Drosophila melanogaster: one gene and its partners. The protein of the gene in region 2 interacts with the protein of the main gene of each other region in a pairwise test. Each region holds a gene or a part of one and is shown on either strand. Other genes may lie near its edges.

What was found.
Region 1: the proteins of drm (region 2) and Irbp18 interact in a two-hybrid assay, tested with the Drosophila melanogaster proteins (one large-scale study listed by BioGRID).
Region 3: the proteins of drm (region 2) and Paris interact in a two-hybrid assay, tested with the Drosophila melanogaster proteins (one large-scale study listed by BioGRID).
Region 4: the proteins of drm (region 2) and Spps interact in a two-hybrid assay, tested with the Drosophila melanogaster proteins (one large-scale study listed by BioGRID).

The regions. Positions count from the first base shown.
Region 1 is NT_037436.4:11,096,472-11,100,756, forward strand, and holds Irbp18 (inverted repeat binding protein 18 kDa), read right to left. Parts: upstream 1,716-4,285; 5' UTR 1,671-1,715; coding exon of another isoform or gene 1,640-1,670; coding exon 1,529-1,639; intron 1,402-1,528; coding exon 1,171-1,401; 3' UTR 975-1,170; downstream 1-974. Other genes in the region: CG33947 (uncharacterized protein), read left to right, coding at 542-590, 1,621-1,670; APP-BP1 (beta-Amyloid precursor protein binding protein 1), read left to right, coding at 2,214-2,281, 2,339-2,503, 2,560-3,205, 3,272-3,605, 3,668-3,916, 3,976-4,088; Elo68beta (elongase 68beta), read right to left, coding at 4,211-4,285.
Region 2 is NT_033779.5:3,537,272-3,543,120, reverse strand, and holds the start of drm (drumstick), read right to left. Parts: upstream 3,389-5,849; 5' UTR 3,144-3,388; intron 1-3,143. UniProt on the Drosophila melanogaster protein: Putative transcription factor. May function redundantly with odd and sob in leg joint formation during the larval stages, acting downstream of Notch activation.
Region 3 is NT_033779.5:4,460,879-4,465,575, reverse strand, and holds Paris (parkin interacting substrate), read right to left. Parts: upstream 1,966-4,697; 5' UTR 1,790-1,965; intron 1,736-1,789; 5' UTR 1,731-1,735; coding exon 690-1,730; 3' UTR 501-689; downstream 1-500. Other genes in the region: FIG4 phosphoinositide 5-phosphatase, read right to left, coding at 1-196, 258-338; CG15443 (uncharacterized protein), read left to right, coding at 2,616-2,952, 3,013-3,752; CG15435 (uncharacterized protein), read right to left, coding at 4,017-4,697.
Region 4 is NT_033777.3:24,222,492-24,229,112, forward strand, and holds Spps (Sp1-like factor for pairing sensitive-silencing), read right to left. Parts: upstream 4,444-6,621; 5' UTR 4,165-4,443; coding exon 1,258-4,164; coding exon of another isoform or gene 1,207-1,257; 3' UTR 954-1,206; downstream 1-953. Other genes in the region: cav (caravaggio), read left to right, coding at 45-932; CG13609 (uncharacterized protein), read left to right, coding at 4,633-5,727; Acp95EF (accessory gland protein 95EF), read left to right, coding at 6,501-6,518, 6,581-6,621.

The DNA of each region.
Region 1 (4,285 bases), on a different chromosome or scaffold from region 2:
AGAAAAAAGCGAGAGCAAGGCCGTGCAGTAAAAGAGCGAGCGAGAGCGGCCAAAACAACCAAAATAAAGTTACGTGAAATTATAAATAAAAAATAAGGAAATACACGTTCAGCTGCCGACCAGCCAAATACAACAAAGCAACGCTGTAAAAACTGAAAACACATTTCAGTTTATTTCGCCTCGTGCCATGTGAGCAACTTCAAATTGATATTGAATCGGAATCAGTGTGCGGGTGGTGCTAATTAGCGGAAGACGGCAATTTATTGAACGCGAAAAAAGCCCCACAATCCAACTTCCATTTCGACACGAAACCAACCACCCGCCAAATCAAATCGCCGTCGAGTTGTGCATCAAATGAATGTGCGAAAAGTGCAGTAAATCAATGTTTTTGTGAGTGTTTGAAAGAAGAAGACGGAAGGAGCGCCCACAACAAAAGCAAAGAGAGCAAGACCTAACGGGACACCCGAAACCAAAAACCTATCGGCACAACGACACTTTCTCAATAGCTATAGTTTTAGTTCATATGTTCATATCTCGGAAAATGGACGAGGTCTTTAGCCTACACATGGAGAAATTGGACGTTTACGACGGTTAGTATCTAATTTGCCGGAAGTTCTACTTAAACGTAGAACATATGTATATGATGGAATCTGGGTTGTATTTCTGATTAATGAGTTCATCAACTTTCAAGGAAATAATAATAGTAGTAGTAGTTGTAAACAGCTGAAGTATTGGGTATAAAATAACACTGATATGGGTAAAATCATAATAGACACTTTATTTGATTCAAGACTCGCATGATTTTAGCTGTATGAATCATGTCGAAAATAATAGAAATCACTATTACTAAATATAGATAATTTTAAAATTTAGATTCAGTGCAACATGGATACAGTGATTAAGTGTTACAATATAAACAAAAGTAAAAGAAAAGTACAACAAAAACAAGTATTTGGTGAGAAATGATAAAAACTCACCAATAATGAAAACCATTTATGTAGGATTTTAACAAACACTGTTCTCGTCTGCATGAGTGCTTGTCTTTGTAATAGAATTCGAGCAATTGCACCATTTTAATCGAAAAACTAAGATGATACACATGGTTAACAACCATGGGAAATGGCTTAAAAGTATGAAAATATAAGAAGGTAAATCAGGAGAAGCTCCTCGTTAGTCATTGTCCTTGGGATCGGGATCTGGTTCAGCGAGAATCTCCTGGATGATTCGATGGCCGTCCTCCGTTTTCTCACCCTGAATGATCAGATCTCTAAGCGTAGATATATGTTTTTCACTCGTCTCGATCTGAACCTTAAGAGCATCGTTTTGCTTCCTCAAATCATCGATGCGTTTCTTACGTTCCTCGGCCGATTTCTTGGTCTTTTCGCGTGTGCGCTGAACAGCCTGTTCCGAGAATAGTAATAAATCAATAGTGGGCATCTATTTTTGGGGACTTCTGGGGGCCACGGCGCCACAGCAACATGTTTCCCAATCTTTGCTCTCTGTTTACATCCAAAACTCTTAAACTTACCTCATTGTTTTTCTTTCTTTTTTCTTTGTACGCTGGATCGTCTGTGTGCGGACTTAATGGCGAATCGCTATTTTTGCTGGTCGACGCGGCAGTTCTCTTTTTGGCCGGCATTATCTCCGTGATAATACTGATATTTATTTAGTTCAAATTGGATCGCAATCGGACGGAAATGCAGAAGAAAACACAGCGATGTATGCGTTGTTTTGTTGTGAAATTACACGATAAAACAGCTGTTCATTAGCCCTCCCAGTGTTGCAAAATGCGCTGCCTACACTGCCCAGCCAACAAACAGTTAGCGGTATTATTTAATTAAATTAATTGCATGTTGAAAATCAATATTAAAACTCACCCAAAACCATAGCCATGGAATGCTATTCAAAAACTGTCAACCAGACACTTTATTTGGTTTGCTCAGACTTTCACTTTTTAATTTCTCAACTGTTTATACATTTTATTTGTAAAGACTGATTGCTTGTACGTAGATGTAGTTTAATGCAATAAAATTAAATGAAATGTAATACGTAATAGTCAATAAATGTTTTAAATAAGCAACAGTTAAAATTACCAACGTGTTTTTTCCAACACTCCACCCAATAAACAAATTGTGTCAGAAGTATTGGCTGCCGGCGCTTTACAGTACTGGATTATTTGCAACCGGCTTATTATTGCACAAAAATCTAGTGAAATGTCCTCGCCAGCCCCCAAATCGCCAGAGCTTTCGGATAAAAGCAAGAAATACGACAGACAAATCAGGTGAGGAGCGTTTTAATTGATAAATTCGGAAGCATAGCACTGATGACACCTATTTAGGCTGTGGGGAGAGCATGGACAGACGCTATTGGAGGCAGCCACAGTATGTTTGGTGAATGTTACGGCCGTCGGCTGTGAAACTGCCAAGGGACTGGTGCTACCCGGTATCGGAGGCTTCACTGTGGCCGATGGCAGCACCGTCAAGGAGGAGGATCTGGGCAACAAGTCGGTAGACCATCACACATTCCCTGACCACCATTATAAAGTCACTTTTTCCGTAGTTTCTTCCTCGATTCCAGCTATCTGGGCAAATCTAAAGCATTGGCTTGCATGCAACTTCTCCAGGAACTCAATCCCGACGTAAATGGCGATTATGTCGACGAGAGTGCCGACTTTTTATTAGCCAACAGACCGAACTTCTTCGACAGCTTCGATTTAGTGATTGCCTCCAATCTCAATGAGCAGACTTTGCTTCTCCTGGCCGAACGGTTATGGGAGCTTAACGTTCCATTAATCTACTGCCGATCGCTTGGCATGCTGGGCACAATACGCTTGCAAATACGGGAACACTGCATCGTGGAGGCGCATCCGGATAATCGACAGTTTGATCTGCGTCTGGAGCATCCATTCGATGCTTTGCGGGAGCATCTCGACGGCACCGAGGTGACCAGTAAGGTGCCCTGGTTGCTGGTTCTTCACAAATACCTTAATGTGTGGCAAAAACAACAAGCGGATGGGACTCAAACGCCTCGAAATTACAAAGAGAAGAATCAGTTGAAGGAGACCATTAGAGAGGAGATGAAGGCGGATGAGGAAAACTATGAAGAGGCCATCAAGGCGGTCAATACAGCCTTTGGAGCGGGACAGGTTCCCAAAAGCCTGAAAGCCATATTCGAAGATGATGCCTGCGAACAGTTAAACAAGAAGGTTGCCCATATAATCTGAATTTATACGTATACTTTACTTTCATTTGTTTTTCTTTTTTTTTTACAGAGCAACGTCTTTTGGATCATGGCCAAGGCCCTAAAGCACTTTGTGATACATGAGAATGAGGGCCATCTCCCTCTGCCTGGCGTTCTGCCGGACATGACTGCCAATACGGACTCCTATATCGCCCTGCAGCACATCTACCGCCAACAGGCGCTGCAAGACGCCGACCAGGTGTATCACAAGTGCCAGGAGTACCTTAAGCAGTTGGCTTTGCCTGCCGACAGCATTGATGAGAGAAGTGTGCGTCTCATTTGCAAAGAAGCAGCCGGACTGGCGGTCATAAGGGGTACACGCATTGCAGAGGAGTACGAGAAGAGCAGTCGCCTGCTACCACTGGGTAAAGATCTATCTATCTATTTTGGAACAACCTTAAATGACTTACCTTTCCTTGCCTTCCAGTTGAGGACAACGAGCTGCAGGGCAACCTCACGGCATACAACTTTGCGCTGCGCGCCTACGAGCGCTTCCTCAGCGAGTGTGGCAACATTCCCGGCGAGTGCATCGTTGAGCAGGACATTGGACGTCTGAAGAGCATTGCCGCCAAGATGCTTAGCGATTTGGGAATGCACGCCACCATCAGCGATGATGTTCTGCACGAGATTTGTCGATATGGCGGAGCTGAGTTGCATGCAGTGTCTGCTTTTATTGGTAAATATTCCATTTGGTTTATGCGTTGACCGATACTATATTCTGCTAATTCCTTTCAGGTGGCTGCGCTGCCCAGGAGGTGATCAAGATCATTACGAAGCAATACAAGCCAATCGATAATACTTTTATATACAATGCTATAACCACAGAAAGTGTCACATTGAAGCTATAAACAAATTGTATTTTCATAGAAATTGTACGTTCTTTTTATTCTGTGTCCCCAAATAACTAATTAAATTAGTCAACCAATTGAAACCCCTTCTATAATACTACTAACAAATTCGATTGCTATATTTACTTGGCTTTCTTTACAACTGCCGAAACACAGTATTTTTGAGCATAGAACCTACCGAACATAAAGAGAAATGG
Region 2 (5,849 bases):
CATGTCTGGTGGGAGACTGGGACTCGGCTAAGATCGGCTCAAAGGCCTGGCCAAAAGAGACTCCTCCAATGTTAATTTGTGTACACAATGTGGCGTCACATTGGCATTTTAACGCCGTTAATCATGCGACACAGGGCGCCTGCATAAGGCCATCCATTCGATATGGATTCTTTGGGTCCGGGTCTCTCCGCCTCGATCGGTCTCGCATTTGGCCATGCTTTGCTTTGGATTTGGACTCGGACTCGCATTTGGACGTGGACTTGTATTAAGTTTGTCTCTGGGAGCGTGGGCCTAAGTGGAGCACCATTAGCCACGGGTTGCTCTCCGGGGTTAAGCACTCTATTTGGCCATTTGCTGGATGCGTCGAATGACGATGGAATTGTCTTCAGTCTGGGGATGGGGCAAAATGGGCGGGGGAGACCTTCGAGAACAGTGAAATTCGAGCTGACAATTGAGTGAGCCCATCAATTTGGAAGGTTAAGTTAGCTGGCCTGGGGCATTCCAATAATAAAGGTGTCCAATGGCACATGGTCTATCCATATTGGTAAAGTCAATCTCATTATATTAACTCAGCAAAACTGAAAGGTAAAGCATCTTCCTACAGTTATAATCCTAATCTTTTGATCAAGTTGGTATATCCTTTTAATCCGTTGAAAATCCAAGCAAAACAATCATCCGAATCCATCTAAAAACCTGTGCAAAGTCATGGCAAATCCAAACGGGCTTAACTTGGCACCTTCTCCGATCCGGGACTTTAAACGGTCTCCAACTGTTAGTATTTTGCAACTGGACATTACAATCCGCTTATGCGAAAAACGAACACCCACAGAGACGGAGGGAAAACTGCCCAAATATTGTATAATAAACTGTTGTCCAACTCAAAGATAATCCCATTAATCCGCACTGAAAATTATTAGTGTTGTGCACACACACATAGTTTCGGACAGGAAGGTTGAGATGTGAAGATCTGAAAATCTGGAGATCTCTGGGAGATCTTCAGCACAGCATGATCCTGACTCTGGACTTTGGGTTTCCGTGTGAAGGGCATGCGAAAGGCGTTAATGCTGCGTGAAATTAGATTTGCAGCGATGGGAAAGAGAAATAAAATGGCAAACTGCAAACAGAGAGTGAGATTATATATGGCCAGATCTCTGGTAAGAGAAGTAAGTGCGTCGGGGGCTTCCACGAAACTCGAGCCGCCTCGAGAGTTACAGTTTAACACCCCGAGATAAATGTGTAGCGGTATGGGCGATAACAGGCTCAAAACTGGGTCCAAAAAAAGGGCTCAAAGCAGTGACACACACGTCGCAGGACGTGGGATATGGTCGAAAGCGATTACCACACTTCTTTCACCTCGCACCGTGGTCATCCCTTTATTTTTTGTAGGAGGCGGACAGTGAGTTGGCAAGGTGCCATTAAAAATTACAACCGAAAAGTGAAAAGAAGAAACCGAAGCGAGAAAAAATGACAATAAAAGGACATAAGGCTCTGAAGACAAAGGCACCGAAGTCCATTTGATACGAATCTAATTGTGCTAATGGCGCAGAATTCCCGGGAAAAACACCCACACACACGAGATCCTGGCCTGACAACAGAACCAATAAGTCGGTGGAAACAATTAGGATGTGTGGCACTGCCACTTCAGTGCGAACAAAGGAATACCTTCGTAACCCCAAACACAAACACACCACAAGATACAAAGATACAATGCGGCAAGGTATGAGCGATCTTCCCTAGATCCATCGCAAATCGGATGGGAATTTCGTGGCCGAAGCAAGTCGATTTCGGACGCTTCTCACCTTCAGCCCGTAAGATATGACAGTTGCTCAAAAGTCGGCGCAGATTAGCTGCCAGCTGAGCCCATTTACCGTAATCGCTTAGCTAATTAGACTCTAATTGATGGAGCGCAGCGGGAGGTCCAGACGAGGTCAAAGATCAGACAGACGGGAAAGAAATGGTCGCGGGAAAGCAGTAAGAATTTCAGAGGTCACGAAACTCTTACAACAACTTTACTTCAGTATAACTATGTTAAACGAATTTCCCTATATTGTAAATGTTAGTCCTACTTCCAGAAAGTTCCCCTAGAATATGGGTTCTGATTTCTGCGATTTCGCACCAGATTCATTGGAATTTTCGCACAAGTGCCAAATCTCAGGTATTTCAAAGTACCTGACTTTGACGCAACTTTTTGAACATCTGTTGTTAGCTTGAGCCGTACTCATTGGTATTTCATAATCCAATGAAAAAAGCACAACTCCATGACTCATAGGCAAATAACTTGTACCAAAACGGCTGATGATGATATGCCAAACATTCTTGGCGATGATTTGCCGTGTTTTGTGCGTCCGCGATCAACCTTCGACAAACTAGGCTTTTTGTTCTTAATGCTGACTCATTAAACTTCTCAGCTTCTATTCTTTCAATCTGAAAAAATGCCGACGGCTTTAAGAGTTTTCAATTCCTAGACAATTTCAATGGAAAACGACTGAAACCTTTAAAAATAGAACAGGTTGAAAGTTTAGGATACAATAAAAACTTATATTTGTTCTGAAGAGAGCTCAAATGTTTTTTTAGACCAACTTTAATAGAAAATAATATTAAATAGTTTTCTTTTCGAAAATTAATGAGCATTTTTTTATGAGATACAAATTATTTCTTCTTCATTCATTTCGGAAATTAATAACACATTTGTACTATACAATGAGAGATCAATAAACTCGGTTGTATTTCAAGTAGATCACCCATTTTGGGGAATTCGTGTCAAGAAGTGCGGGTAAAAACTTTTTACAGTCCAATAGGGAAATATTCGGACTTGGCGTCCGCCATTTTGGCAAATGGCGACACTTTCTCACGCACACAGAGGCCGAAAAGCTCCGTTGGCCACACGCATGCCATATTAGACGCATCGCCCCTCTCCCTCTGGCACACTAAAGAGCCGAAGTGAGAGGCCCGGGCAGAAAGAGAGGCCGATACACGCACCCGTGTTACGTGTGGGGTTTACTTCTTCTTTTCTTTGCTCAGTTTTCAGTTGTCCAATGAAAGCGGCGTAAAACTGGTAGCGAAACAAGTGTGGAAGGGGGAAGAACGACGAACAGAAGAACACGAAGAACGCCATTGAAGAGAGGAGCTGAAGAAAGACTTACCCAATGGGATGCACTGGAGTTACGCGTTCTTCGGACTCGAGTAGAGGCTAACCGATTTCTATAGCTGAGTTTTGTGCGATTTTCGTATGTCCGCTGAATGGATAGATCGATTTGTATCTCTTTTGAAGGTACTCGCGAAGGAAATGTTACTGATGTTGTTACTGATACTGTTACTGATGAGAGGGAACTATATACGCACGCTCGAGCGGCACAAAGTTGAATGAATGAATGCTACTAATAACTGAAAGAAATAGTAGTCGCCTCTGCCGCCGTCCTCTGTCGGCGTCGCTGCCGGCGTCGCTGCTGGCAAGTTGAGGAAGCGAGATCATCGCTCTGTCCCTGTCTGTTACTCAATTCGGTGGCACTGTGTGAGTGTGTGTAAGTGTGTGTGAGTCATCCGAAGAGAAACGAAGCAAAACGAAGACCGGTAGCCGAAGCTACTGCTCATGCGCAGCGCTCGCTAGCCATCCCTTTCGCTCGCCCTAAGTTCTTATGCGTAAGTACAGAAGCTGGCAAACGGAAGCCACAAAATGGCGTCTCTTCTAACGGAAGCCAAGCGTAAAAGTCACAAAATGGCGTCACTTACCTATTGCGAAAGCACGAAATTCCGTTTGCTATTTGGCAAGACACAAATTGTATGCAATTTCTGTTTGGTAGCACTGTGTTGGGTAATATTATTAATAAAATATATTTCACTTCCGAACGCTTCTGTGCGCGAGAGTCAACTGCAAAGTTACGATCGAAAACTTCAGCTTGATGGGTTGAACTTTTTCTGTTTTCCTTTTTTTGGTTACCCTCTTTTTTACAGCCCTCTCTCGGTTGGCTGTCCCTTTCCCACGCACTGTTTGGGTCGCGGAGAACGAGTTTTGAGTGTTTCAGCTGATTGGTCGGAGGAAAATGAGCTAAAGAGCGAACTGAGAAAACTGGAGAGTGAGCGAGCGAGAGAAGGCTACCTGAGTTGAGTGGTTTCGAAGGCGTTACCTGAGTTGACTGTTAATTAAGCTTAAGTAAGCCAACATTTCAATTAAGTTTAGGCGACTAATGAGTGAAAGGTGTGCTGGATAATGCGGGCTGTAATAAGCTTGCGATTTCTTTGGATTTCCTCGGACTTCTTCTCTGTCTTTCTAGCTGCTGTTTGGCTAAAAAGGTAACTTTCTTTCACTTATACCTGTGTATATTTTTATAGATGTGGGCGTGGCTTTGGGCGGCGCTCTGTCTGTCCCACTCTTTCGCGCCGTCTCGCTCGCTCACCCCCTTTTTAACTGCTTCTTAACCCGTTTTGCGAGCGAGCGAGAGGCCAAATATAAAAACCAGTGGCAGAGCAGAGCAACCGTATTACGCAGTGCTCAATTTTTAGTGTATTTATCTTCTTTTTTTGTGGAGCTCCATTTTGTTTTCAGGGCCTGAGAAACTTTTTTCTCGCATTTCCTTTGGCTTTGCCGCCTCCGCCTTTGTTGTCGCTCTTCTGCTTGTGTGGCCTCTTTAGACCCGAAAAAATAATACTACAAAAACACCATATTGATGGTCTGTTTATCTTTTGTGCCTCACCATATCTGTTTATCTTTTACGATTTCTCAATGAAATCTGAAAAACTGTGTCGTTCATTCAGCAAGAAACTTCATTAACTTAACACCCAGTGTTTTTAATTAGGTGCGCCAGAAAAGGATTGTTTTTAATTAAGTTTTCGCCTGTCCATAAAGCTTAACAAATTATTTTCGACTGCTTTTGGGCATTTTTAAGTGCAATCCGTTGGCAACTCCACTTTGATGGCTTCATCTCTGTCCGCCTCGCTTTTGTTTCACTCCATCTGTGTCCATCTGTCTTATTGTTTTTCGGATCAAATTTGCATATTTTAAATGGCCAATCAGCAAACTCGAAAAGGAGACGTATCGACAATTGTGAGGAGCTTCCTTTTGAAGGAGAAACTAATTATGAACCCTCCAAAGAAGAGTCTGAAAAATGACTTGGCTTACTTGGCAATTTTGAAGACTTTGTTTTCAGAGGCGAGGAATGTGATGCAATATTTCACTCGATGTTGAAAGGTTGTTTGGTTCACAAAGATTATTGTATTTATTATCATAAACAAACAATAATTTGACCTTCACATCCATATGTAGTCATTTTTTTTTGGATTTTCCGCATCCTTTACTCATCTATCATCTTCAAATAATCTGTCACTTAAAAAGCCCCTAAATTTTTGACAAATACCTCGCAACTTTCTCAATCTAACAACAAATAAAGTTAGGGCCAGCATAAATTCCAACGACCCAAAACTTGTGCGCCAGACAGTGCACACAAAAGTATTAAATTTCATTAATTGCCAATATTAAAAAGGCAAACAAAATCGAACAGTAAAAAAAATGAAGATTGGTGAAAAATTAAAAATTCATACGGCAGCGATGCGGTCACATAAATTTCGGAGGAGGCAACAAAGACTACAGCTAAGAAAAGGCAGATGCAAAAAATTATAATAAATATATACGCGAAGATACACGGATGAATCTGTGGAAGCAGGCAAATGTCGAAGACGTGGGCGTTGAATGGGATCCGTCGGGGTTTTTTCGGATTCAGTTTTTATACTTTTTGGTTAATAATAATGAAACTGGACCGCAGCCACCGCAGCAAGGCGTTGTCAACAGTTGGCGACGATGATGCCGATGAAGCTGATGATGCTGATGATGTCGCTGGTGCTGATGATTCCGGTGA
Region 3 (4,697 bases), 920 kb from region 2:
AGCGCACAAATCCAAGGACGCCATAAGCGGACGTCACCTTGGGCGAACCCGAAAGGGAAGCGACAAAACGTCGGATCTCCAGGCTGTTAAACTCGTTGGCATTCTCCTCGATACTCAGCCGGTTGTGGGCAAGTCGGTCTATGGTCAGGAGGCGAAACCGAGTCTCCCGATTGTTGCTGCCCACCAAATAGAGGCGCTGAAATTATGGCGATATATGTGATTAGTCAAAAAAAGGTCAGCTGGAGGTGATTTCTTACCGCTCGTGTCTCATAGAGCACTACTTTTTGGATGGAGCTTATCAGGGGATTGAAAACTATATTCGGATTATCATTGTTCATTTTTTCAGCTTTTCCGAAATTTTTTTGTTACAATTTCTCAGGCCGCTCCCACATAAACAACAAACAGCTGATCATCATCTGTAGTTGGATATGCGAGAAATGGCCAGTGTTGGCAGCGTGAGAGGGAGTCGATTAATTAATTTTGTTTTGGTTCAATCAAATATAAATAACATTTTATTCCATCATAAAACATATCAAAATAGGCATATTCATTACCAACCAATTTTATGCCTTATTCTTACAATACCTATGAATATGTTAGCTTATTTTATCATCTAGCAAAATCATTTTTGTCCATTTTAAAGTAGTGCACATGGAAGATATGTCTTCCAAGTGTTTTTAAAGTAGTGGTCACTTGTGTATCTCGAGGATATGTCTAGCAAGTGTTTTTCTCTGCTTATAGAAACTGGCACAGTGAGGACACTTAAATGTTCTTTCAGCGTTGTGTACGAGCTTGTGCTCCTTGAGAGTGCTGCTCAGCCGAAAAGTCTTGGGACAGTGGGAGCAGCGAAATGGACGATCTGGTAAGTGCAGGCGGCTGTGCTGCTTGAGGTGCTGCTTCATAGCGAAGGCCTTGGGGCAGTGGGAACACTTGAATGGTCGTTCACCAGTGTGAGAACGGAAATGGTTATCAAGGTGAAACTTCCTCGTAAATGTTTTCGTGCACTTGGAGCACTTGAACGGTCTCTCGCTGCCATGTGTGCGGATGTGACGCCGGAGATCGGATGATTTAATAAAGGTTTTTGAGCACTGTGAACACTTGAATGGTCGTTCGCCAGTGTGAGTTCGCTCATGCGACTGCAGAGTGGACTGCTGCGCAAAGGTCTTGGCGCAGTGGGAACACTCGTAGGGTTTCGCTGCATTGTGGGTCTTCATGTGCGCCTTGAGAGTGACTCTAAGTCTAAAGTTCCGCTTGCAGTAGGGGCATGGGAAGGATTGTCCGTCCATGTGTGTTCGCATGTGCCTCAGAAAAGTTCCCTTTCGCTGGTATTTCTTGTGGCATTCTCGACATTCGAATGCTACCTTCTTGCTGTCGCTTTTCCCATCGTCATCAGCAGCGGATGCAGAATCAATCCGCGCATCTTCGTCTTCCGAAATCTCCCAGTCTTCTTCTTCGAGCAAGGCGCATAAAGCATCCTCGATGCCTTCATCGCGAACTCGGCAGTAGAACTGGTGGCTTTCCTCACAAGTTTGCCTTATCCCATACGCGCTCTTTACGTCCTCATAGCACTGTGGGCATATCATTTCCGAAAACAAATCGCCACGTTTGACCTCGAATCCGGTGCACTGCGCGATCATCTCGGCAATGGAAACTCTGGTTCTTCGTCTGGCGTCAAATATGTTAACGAGTTTACCAGAAATATCCATACAAACTCGGCATATTTCCGCCATTATCCCTGTAATAAACAATACTTATTAGGCTGAACTTTATGAAGGACTATATTACTTACCTGATGTATATACTAAATAGCTTATAGCTGGAAAAGCAATCTTTTATAATTTAGGAATCCGTTTCATACATCCCAATTAATTGAAAATTAATGCGATTGCCTTGATGAACAATTCAAAATAATAATAAGCTAAACTTCACATTGTGCACAGTACACTGGGCACCCTATTCTCTGGGCCATATGCTAAATCGATTTATTATCGATGTTCGAAATTCAAATTATTTATCAAAATGATGATTTTTGAAACTAAGGTGTGTTTACCATATTTAACAGCTGAGATAAACGCAAACTTGCAAGGGTCGCCCTGTGGTGGTCAGCCCAAGTTTTGATGGGAAAATTCTTATCGGATATCGATATCCTTTACCTGTTGAAGAATATAAAATTGAAATAAATTTCTTTGGAAAAACAAACATTTATCTTCGTATAGTTTTTTCACATTTTCGCCTAGCTAGTGGTGAATAATTTTGGACAGAAGGAGCACTGGACTTTTTCCGTGGAAATCATAGAAAAATTAAATTAAAAAGGCACAAAAAGGAAATGAATCTCCTCGCCGAACTTCTTTGCCAGTATAAAAATAAATTCACATATGAAAAATCGGGTTCCTGGGTGCCACTGAATATGTTTATCCATCGATTCCGGGCTCAGATTACCACCATTGACCTGAAATTAAATAAGCATTACTTACTCCAAATAAAATATAAACAAACAAGTGCGTACCTTTTTTGTTTACAATTTTAACAGCTGATGAGTGAAGTGCTGTTAACCTTTCATAGTTATCGATAATCTGTTATTATTATCGGAATATTGCTCACTTGCTAAGGATTCCATGAAATTTAAACAAATGGACTTTGTGACGACAACTGGGGAGGGAAGTTTTCTGCGAAACAAGATTCGTGCATATGCCAAGGATCACCGTGTTGAGTGCCGCATAAAGGCGAAAGACTCATTGCGCATTGGACTTGGACAGGTTAAGCAGGAAGTGGCGGCTCTTGAGATGGGCACCAAGGACGTCATTGGAATGGCCAGCAGGATCAAGCGTCGCAAGCACGCCACCTCCGAGGATCTGTGCCGCTTGTCGCTGGGGTTCCTCCAGAGCAATGACAACATCAATGCATTCGCAGCTATTCCTGGCGCCATTCAGGTTCTGGTTAAGGAGCTAACTGGTAACCAACTGCACCCTCATTAGCTTTAGTTTTATATAAAAAGGTTGACTTGACTTTCAGGACCTCACATTCAACGACAGACAGATGCCGTGGAGTGCTTGTGTAATCTTTCCTTGGGCGAGGCCCATGTCTCCGAAAAGATTGTCACTTTGGCGGGCAGCTACATGGTCACCTACCTTGATGGCAAGGCCGAACGCCTCAAGCGCAGTTGCCTGTGGACACTGGCCAACGTTCTGGGCACATGCGACAAGGCCGGCAGCGTATTGCTGCAAATGCAAATAGTACCCAAGCTGTGGAGGCTCTACATCGAGCCCAATGGCTGCCAAGAAGATGCGGCCATCTGCCTCTCCCTGGTGGCCACCCGCTGCCCGCAGCATGTGAGTGACGAGGATCGAAGGTACATTGGCCAGAATCTGCCTGAGAAGCTCCACGGCCAGCCTGCCAGCGAGTACTTCATGTACATAGTGCACCAACTGGAAATAGTGACACAGGAGCACAAGTTAGATGCTCAACAGGCCGAATGCCTGGTGCGTTTCTTTGAAGCCACCTTAGCATCGCCAGCCGACCGGCTGTGCCTAATCTACGCCGTGCGTGTAATGACCAATCTGGTAGCCCTAGGTGACACAAGTCTAATATTCGCACTGGCAGACCCGCAGAATCTTGTGCAAACCCTAAACCAGCTCTTCGCTCTGCGAGATCCAGATCTCAACCTGGACGCGATGCGCTTGCTCAAGAACTGTCTGCACTTGAAGGTAGCAGATTCCAACCTGGTACTGAATAGCTTGCAAATATACGCATAGGCTTATGGTTAAGAATAAGTCTTGCAAATCTCTTTATTGGTCTTAGAGTACATATAAATATAAAGCCACGGACTTTTGAGTACTCGAGAATGTATTGTAAATGAACATGGATTGCCGCTAAGCAAAACTAAATCACTAATGGAAACAGAATAAAATAAATAAATAATAAATAAATACAATACGACAAAAACACAGATGCAAAGTGGTCAACATGATTACTAGTTTGATTGAGCCACCGGCATGAAAAACAGGACTTTGTAAAACCTAAATATCATCCTCGAAGAGGGCGATTATTTGACGCCTTTTGGCTTCGTCGTCGGCGTTCAGTTCATTGCCCCTGTGGGCATTGTGGTTGTGCACCTCCAGTTCGGAGACTGAGTCAAATTCTAAATTGCACTGCCCGCAGCGGGCTGAGAAAACGGGCGCTGGACCCTGCGAAACTGTGCCAGGAGAGACAGCGGCCCGTTGCAGCTTCTCGAGGAACGTGGCTCTCTCCCTGTGCTTGTCCAGCCCGATTCCCAGCGCCGCCTTTCCGCGAATGGGAATGGGTTTTTTCACCGTCGGCGTGCCCTGGGAATGGCAACTTTCAGAGCGCTCAATGGCGTACAGCACGTTGTTCTCCTCCGTGATCGGAGTCGTCGTTCCGCTGGCACAGTCGAATAGAGATGGTTCCTGCACCGGCCGGGGATCGGGTATATCTATGGGAATTGGCGGCTCAGCTATCTTCTCACCGTTGGACACCTTCACCTGATTGAGCTTCTCGGCCAGAAGCGAGTCTATGGAATGTTCCTGCAGCCAGGCGCAAGTTTTGTGCAGAGCGAATATCATGCGGCGGATGAACTCGTGCGGCGAGACCATTTTCTGTCGCCTAATCTCGAGCAACTTGGTCACCTCGGTAACAAACGTGACGAACTGGTATTCGACGCAGTTGTCCAGATGCGACTG
Region 4 (6,621 bases), on a different chromosome or scaffold from region 2:
TTGTAAATTGAAATTGTATATTGTATAGTATCCTGTATTTGAAGAGAATAACCGAGGAGGACTTGGCACGCCCATACACCGAGGACGAGGTAAAGGAGCTTTGTCTACGCACCAAAGTGAAGGTTGATATGACCGCTTGGAATTGTCTGTGGGAAGCCAAAAAGAGGTTTGAAGCAAAAGGACGTTTTGTGAACAAGTCTGAGAGATTCATCAACCGAATGTATATGAAAGCGGTGCGCAGAAAGATGGTCCAACCGTATCCGGAGGAGTTTGTGGCCCAGCGAAGAGAAATAGTTGCAGCCGAGACTAAGAAGCAGAACATCAGCCGATTGGATAGATGGCAAAAGAAAAAGAGTCAAAACCTATCAGCACCAGAATCCTCTCCAGACGCTCATGCATCTTCTAATGACGCGGTGCAGAGCCACGAGGACCAAGCAAACACAAATCTTAGTTCACTGTCTCAAATGAACTTTCAAGTGGAAGCGATGGCTCCGCCAGGCGTGTCGTCATCTGATCTTAGCGGCATCGGAGACGATGAGGACGAACAGCAGCAGTCAGGATTTCAGGATGAGAACATCAACCGTCCAGAGACAGAGATTAATGAGAATTCGGTGAGATGTGATCCAATTAATTTAGGAAGGATGCGGACTGGATGTATAAATTCGCAAGCAAATAACAGTTTCCGGAATACGGAGTCTGATCCGGACTACTATATGTTTGGCACCCAATTGAGCACATTAGTACGACCCACGTCGACTCAAGAGCCTGACGATCAGGTAAACTGTCCAGAGACAGAGATGAATGAGAGCTGGGTAAGGTGTGATCAAATTAATTCGGAAAGCTTGTCGATTGGACCGTCAATTGATTCGGAAGGAACTATCACTTTTCAAAATACAGAATCTGAGCCGATCGACGTCACCTCAATAGCCTGATGTCCATATATTAAACTATATAAAGTTCTTCATTTATTGGTGTTAATTAATTAAAAACATGTAATCCCTAAAAATGTTATAAAATGTATAATAAAAATCTTAATTAAAATACGATGGTCGATTAAGCTATGTACACTAATCTAGGATGATCCGCAACCGGAGCTGTACAAGAAGGGTAAACATTTAAAATGCTCGCTTTTACATAATTACGCTATGTACAATTTATATATTGCTAAACCATGGTCCCATGGGGCGCGGCAGGGGGCGGTGGGTGCTACGGGAAGTGGTCAAACAAGAACTGTTCCATGAACAGCGACTCCGAATGCTAGTTGGACGAATTGTCGCCAGGCTCACTGACCGCAATTGTCATCTTCACTTCATCGCCACTGTCTAGTTCTGGATCCTCGTCATCCTCCTCATCCTCGCAATCATCCATATCGTCCTCGTCGAGCTCCTCGTCTTCGTCGTCCTCTTCGGTCAATTCATCATCCTCCTCGTCGTCCTCATCATCGCCGAAACTATCACCCCCGCCGCTGGCCTCCACAGTCGGCAGCTGAACGATCGTGGCCCCGCCCGGCGTCACAGTTGAGCCTGCAACCGTGGCCGCCACACTGGAGGCTCCACTGCCCGCCGCCGCTGAACCGCCGCCCGGAATCTCAATCGTCACAATGCCGTTCACCGTGCTAATGCTTTTCGGTGCATTGCCACCCTTGGTCTCCTGCTTGATGCTCAGCTCAATTAGCTCCACGCCAGAGCGGCTCTTAAAGTGCGTCTTGATGTGCTTCGACAGGTGATCGCTGCGCATGAACTTTTTGTTGCACTCCTGGCACTGGAAACGCTTCTCTCCCGTGTGCGTTCGTCGGTGGCGCTGCAGTTCATCGGAGCGGGTGAAGCGCTTGCCGCAAAACGCCCAGGAGCAGACAAATGGTCGCTCGCCAGTATGCCAACGCAGGTGAGCCCTTAGATGGGAAGTTTTCCCGTATACCTTATGGCAGCCGGTTATATGGCATATATGCTGGCGCTTCTTGTCCGAGTGTTTTTCGCCATCTGTACAATTGGGACAGGTGCAGGCTACTCGCTTTAAGCGTGGTTTGGGCTCTCCAGTCGCTGTTCCACCGCCGCCGCCAGTTGCAGCACCTCCGACGCTGGCCACACTTATGTTCATATTGAGATGGCTTTGTGACGGCGTTGTTATAGTCGTCGTGCTGGTGTTCGTGCTCCTTATGCTGGCAGTTGCTCCCCTAGCCTGCGTCGTGACGGACACCACTTGGCCACCAGTCGGCGCAATTGTAATCTGGGTGCTTGACGTGGTCACAGCGTTGACCTTACTTCTTGCAGGTAACGATACGGGAATTGGTTGGGTTGTGGCTGGGGTATTCGGTGTATTCGTCGCTTGCTGTGGCAGGGCTGTGATCTGAATGGAGGCTGGTATGCTCAGGCTGGACAGGGAATTGCTTTCCGTATGCAGGAACTTGATCTGCTGCTGTTGCGGTGAGGCTGTGTTTGGAGTAGAGGCAGGTGCCGGAGGATTACCAGTTGCGGAAATGGGTCCAAAGGTATCCGGCGGCTCTTGCTTGATGCTGGTGATCATTTGCGTTGGACTCTGCGGCTCCTGCTTGGGCATCACCTGAACTTGGCCCTGAGTTTGCACTTGAGGATGCGACATGGGTAGTTGGGTTAGTACTTGCTGGAAGTTGGCTGGCAGATTAGGAGGCAGCTGATTGGCGTGAATGATTTGCACTTGACCCAGGCCTGGGATGTTCTGGATGGGTAAAGCCTGAAGATTGGGCATCTGCATTGGTGTGGGCACACCAGCTGGAGCAGGAGTGGGTGCGGTAGGCGCATTTGGGCGTAGTTGGGCGGGAATCACGGTCAGCTGTTGGCCCTGGGCATTGGTAATGGTGATGGGCTGATTGGGCGGCAGTTGTCCCCCCGCCGAGGCATCGCTGATCGCCTGAAGGAGCTGCTGGTGCTGCGCCTGGACCTGTTGTTGTTGCTGCTGCTGTGCCTGTTGCTGTTGCGCTTGCTGCTGCTGTTGCGCCTGCTGCTGCTGTTGTTGTTGTTGTACTTGTTGTTGCTGCTGCTGGTGGGGATTCTGGATATGTATAATGTTGGCATTCGGAGGCAGCTGAGGATACGGCATTGCCAGTTGCACCTGCTGAATCTGACCGTTGGGCGTAACAATCTGGGCTATCTGTGAGAACTGCGGGATGATTTGCATCTGCGAGGCGGAGGGCATCTGCAGGGATTGCGCCTGCATCAGGTTTTGCAGTCCGCCGCTCGATGTTGCCGCTGCCTGGACGGGCACATGTACAGTCTGGTAGATGGTCTGTCCGTTAGCAGTCTGAACGGGAATCTGCACAGCAACCGTTTGTTGCTGCTGCGGCATGGCTGGCGCCGGAAACTGCACCAGTTGCGGCCGCATCTGCAATTGGCCGTTCTCCAACTTTATAGATTGCCCGCCGCCTAGTAAATTGGAGATATTGGAGATGTTTCCCAGCAATCCATTCGCCGCCGCTACCGAGGTTGGTATCTGCAGGTTTGTGCCCGGTATGGTGATGCTGCCCGGCAGCTGACCCGCTGTCCCACTATTGGTAACTCCCGATCCATTGGCTCCAGATGCATTTGTTCCTTGTGCCTGCTGTTGCACTGTACCCTGGTGCACTTGTTGTGCCTGCTGTTGTTGCTGAATGAGATTGGTGACGGGTATTTGAATGTTGGTGCCGGGTATGGTGATCAGCTGGGTTTGCTCCTGGCCCAAGCCGTTCAGCTGTTGCAGCTGAATGCAGTTAGAGGCTGCCGGATTAGCTGCCATCTGGGGAGCCCGCAGAATTTGACCGTTGGGCGTGATAAAGGCCTGTTGCCCGTTGAAGTTGACCGCCTGAGCGGTGGCCAGTTGTGCATTGAGGTTTGGTATGAAGATGGCCTCCTGGCCATCAATGTTCACCGTTTGCATGGGCATGGGCTGTACGATCTGGAACATGTTTTGGGGCATGCCAGCGTTCTGTCCGTTCCCGGCAACCGCTCCGCCTGCAAACTGAGGAGGCATTTGGTGAATGTTGATGATCTGCTGCATGGTTGGTGTCCCGGGAGCACCGTGAACCTGCGTTTGTGAAGCTGCTGCACTAGCTCCATTTGGTGGAATCGTCGCCTTGCTGGAACCGCCTGCCGCCAAAGGCGTGGCGGGTGGCGCACTAGTCGCCGCACTGGCGGCACTCTTGTACTGCAGCATGGCAGGGCTTTAGATGAGATTTGGTCAATCACAAGTGCTTGGAGCGAAACATGTTCAGTTTTTTTATTCGCTCAGACGCGCTACTCTGCCAGGAGATTGGTAGCATTTAAACCAAGGTGGCACACATGGGGTTATGAACACTGGGATGCGGGGTGCCGACGCTAACATTCAAACACATAAATAACACGAAGTCTAAAGATAATTGCGCTGCGAGACGGTTTTAGCGAGTTTTTAGTTTTAATTTTGTTTTGACACAAACGCAGAAGAAGAAGTGAGAGTGATTGGCCAGGGTTGCATTGCGTTGCATCTCGATGGCCGCCAATCGACCAACCAGCCAACCGATAGTGCGATACCAATAACAAACCGCTAAAAGCAAGAAGAAGCATATCACAGATAAACAAATTTTTAACCGACAAGTTGCCTATCCGACAAAATCCATATTTAATTAGATTGCATCTTGAAAGGGGCATGGAGCCGGTTCCAGAGGAAGCCCGAGGAGTGGGTGATGACGAAGGGGAACTCGATTGTCTAACACATATGATTGGGGCGTTGCTTTTGCAAAAAGAACCGGAAAATCCTGAAAATGGTGACTCAAAGGAAACAATTTGGAGTGGAGAGCTCGAATGGGAGGATGCACAGATATTGGATCAACCGAAGACTCTGCACACGGTCCAATGCAAAATCTGCTCCATGGTTAAAGAAGGTCAGCCGGAGATCAACACGGAGAACTGGCCAAACAAGCTGAAAACACAACTGATACCCAAAAAAGTGCTGGGTAAAATTGGCGAACAATTCCTAAAGGATGCCAGGATGGTTGTATTCCGATCCAGCCAAGGAGAGGTACTCAATTTATTGATCACGGCGATGAGCTCTGGTTTCGCTGGTTGCATCCACTTCCCCTCCAATCCCAACTGCAACATCAAGGCTCTAATTCTCATCTACTCGCGCGATCATCAAGCTTTGGTTGGCTTCATACCCAACAATGAGGATTCGTTTAGCGAACGACTGCAGGAGATTCTTCAGGGTGCAAAACGAAAGCCGGGCGTCAAAACACCCAAGCAGCCACAGCCAGAAGAACCGCCTCCTGTGGAGGAAGATGCCATTATAAATGAACTCCTATGGACTGGATCGCTGAATTGGTCGACACAAGCAAGTTTAGAGGAGCCAAGCATTAGTCACAAGCTTGAGTGTTCCGTGTACATAGCTATAAAAAACGGTGATCCCGGGATCAGTGCGGAGGATTGGCCAACTGATATGCCTATGGTTTTGATGCCTTCAATTTATCTTGGTCAGTTCGCCGGAGCGTTTATAAAGGACTCGAAACTTATAATTCTCCGATCGACACCTGGAGAAGAACACGACTCGCTAGCATCATCAATGTCCGCCGGCAGTTGTGGCTGTGCCCGATTTTCCTCCGAGGTCGTCTGCAAGGTTATCATGCTGCTGTATTCGTCCCCGAGGAACGCCTTCCTGGGCTTTATTCCGAGAGATCAAGCTAATTTCGTCAAGCGATTGCGGGAAGTATTAGACGAACATCGCCAAAAGGCGAGAAACAAAGAGTAAACAAGTATCTCAAGATGATCTCAAAGTATATTTAAAATATTTATTTGAACTCTAGGTATATCAAATTTATAGTCATCGAAGAAAGTATTGTTTTATAATTAGATATTTTTTTTTTTTTTGTTTAATTATTATAAATATAGACCAAAGAATATTTAAACAAGATACGCTCGCACGTCCCCAGTGGGAAAACATACCAAGGCTAAAATATGTAATCAGATAAATAATCATAAAACTGCGAACTCCTGAATGCATTTACGCAAGTTTGTATTACGAATGTCTGTCATACGTTGCCATATTAAAACTTAACCGATCTTATAAATAAACATTTTTGATGTGCATCTATTATGTTTATGTTCTACAACTAGGTCAAGGACAACTGTGTTATCGCATGTCAGATGCTGCAGCATTAATAGACATTAAAAAAAAAACCCCGACTGTAAAATAAGTAATCTAATGAATGCTTCTATTTAGGAAGTTTGAAATAAAAATAATCTTCCGAATGCAAAATCCTTTCCTTTTCGTATTAGTTGTGAATTGATCGAATAAGTATTTTCATATGTTGGGTTCATCATCTTCGTCTTAAGGATTACATTTTCAAAGGTCAATTAGTCTTTTTCATTGCGTAAGCCTTGTAAAAAATGTTAACGAATTTGATTCAGTTTTAAATTTTGAAACGAACCCATTCGATGCGGCCTTGAATACCAGTCATATATATATTGGAGATCTTTTACACATTTTTAGTATAGTTTTCGATTTCTTTAGCGGATATCAACATGGCCTCAGTAAAATTGGTGTGTTGGTACTAATCATATCTGCGTTCCAAAATCTAATATTTTTTAAAATTTTCGCACAGTTCTTTATTGCTATTTTGGTTGTAGCTCTATCCCTTAACAC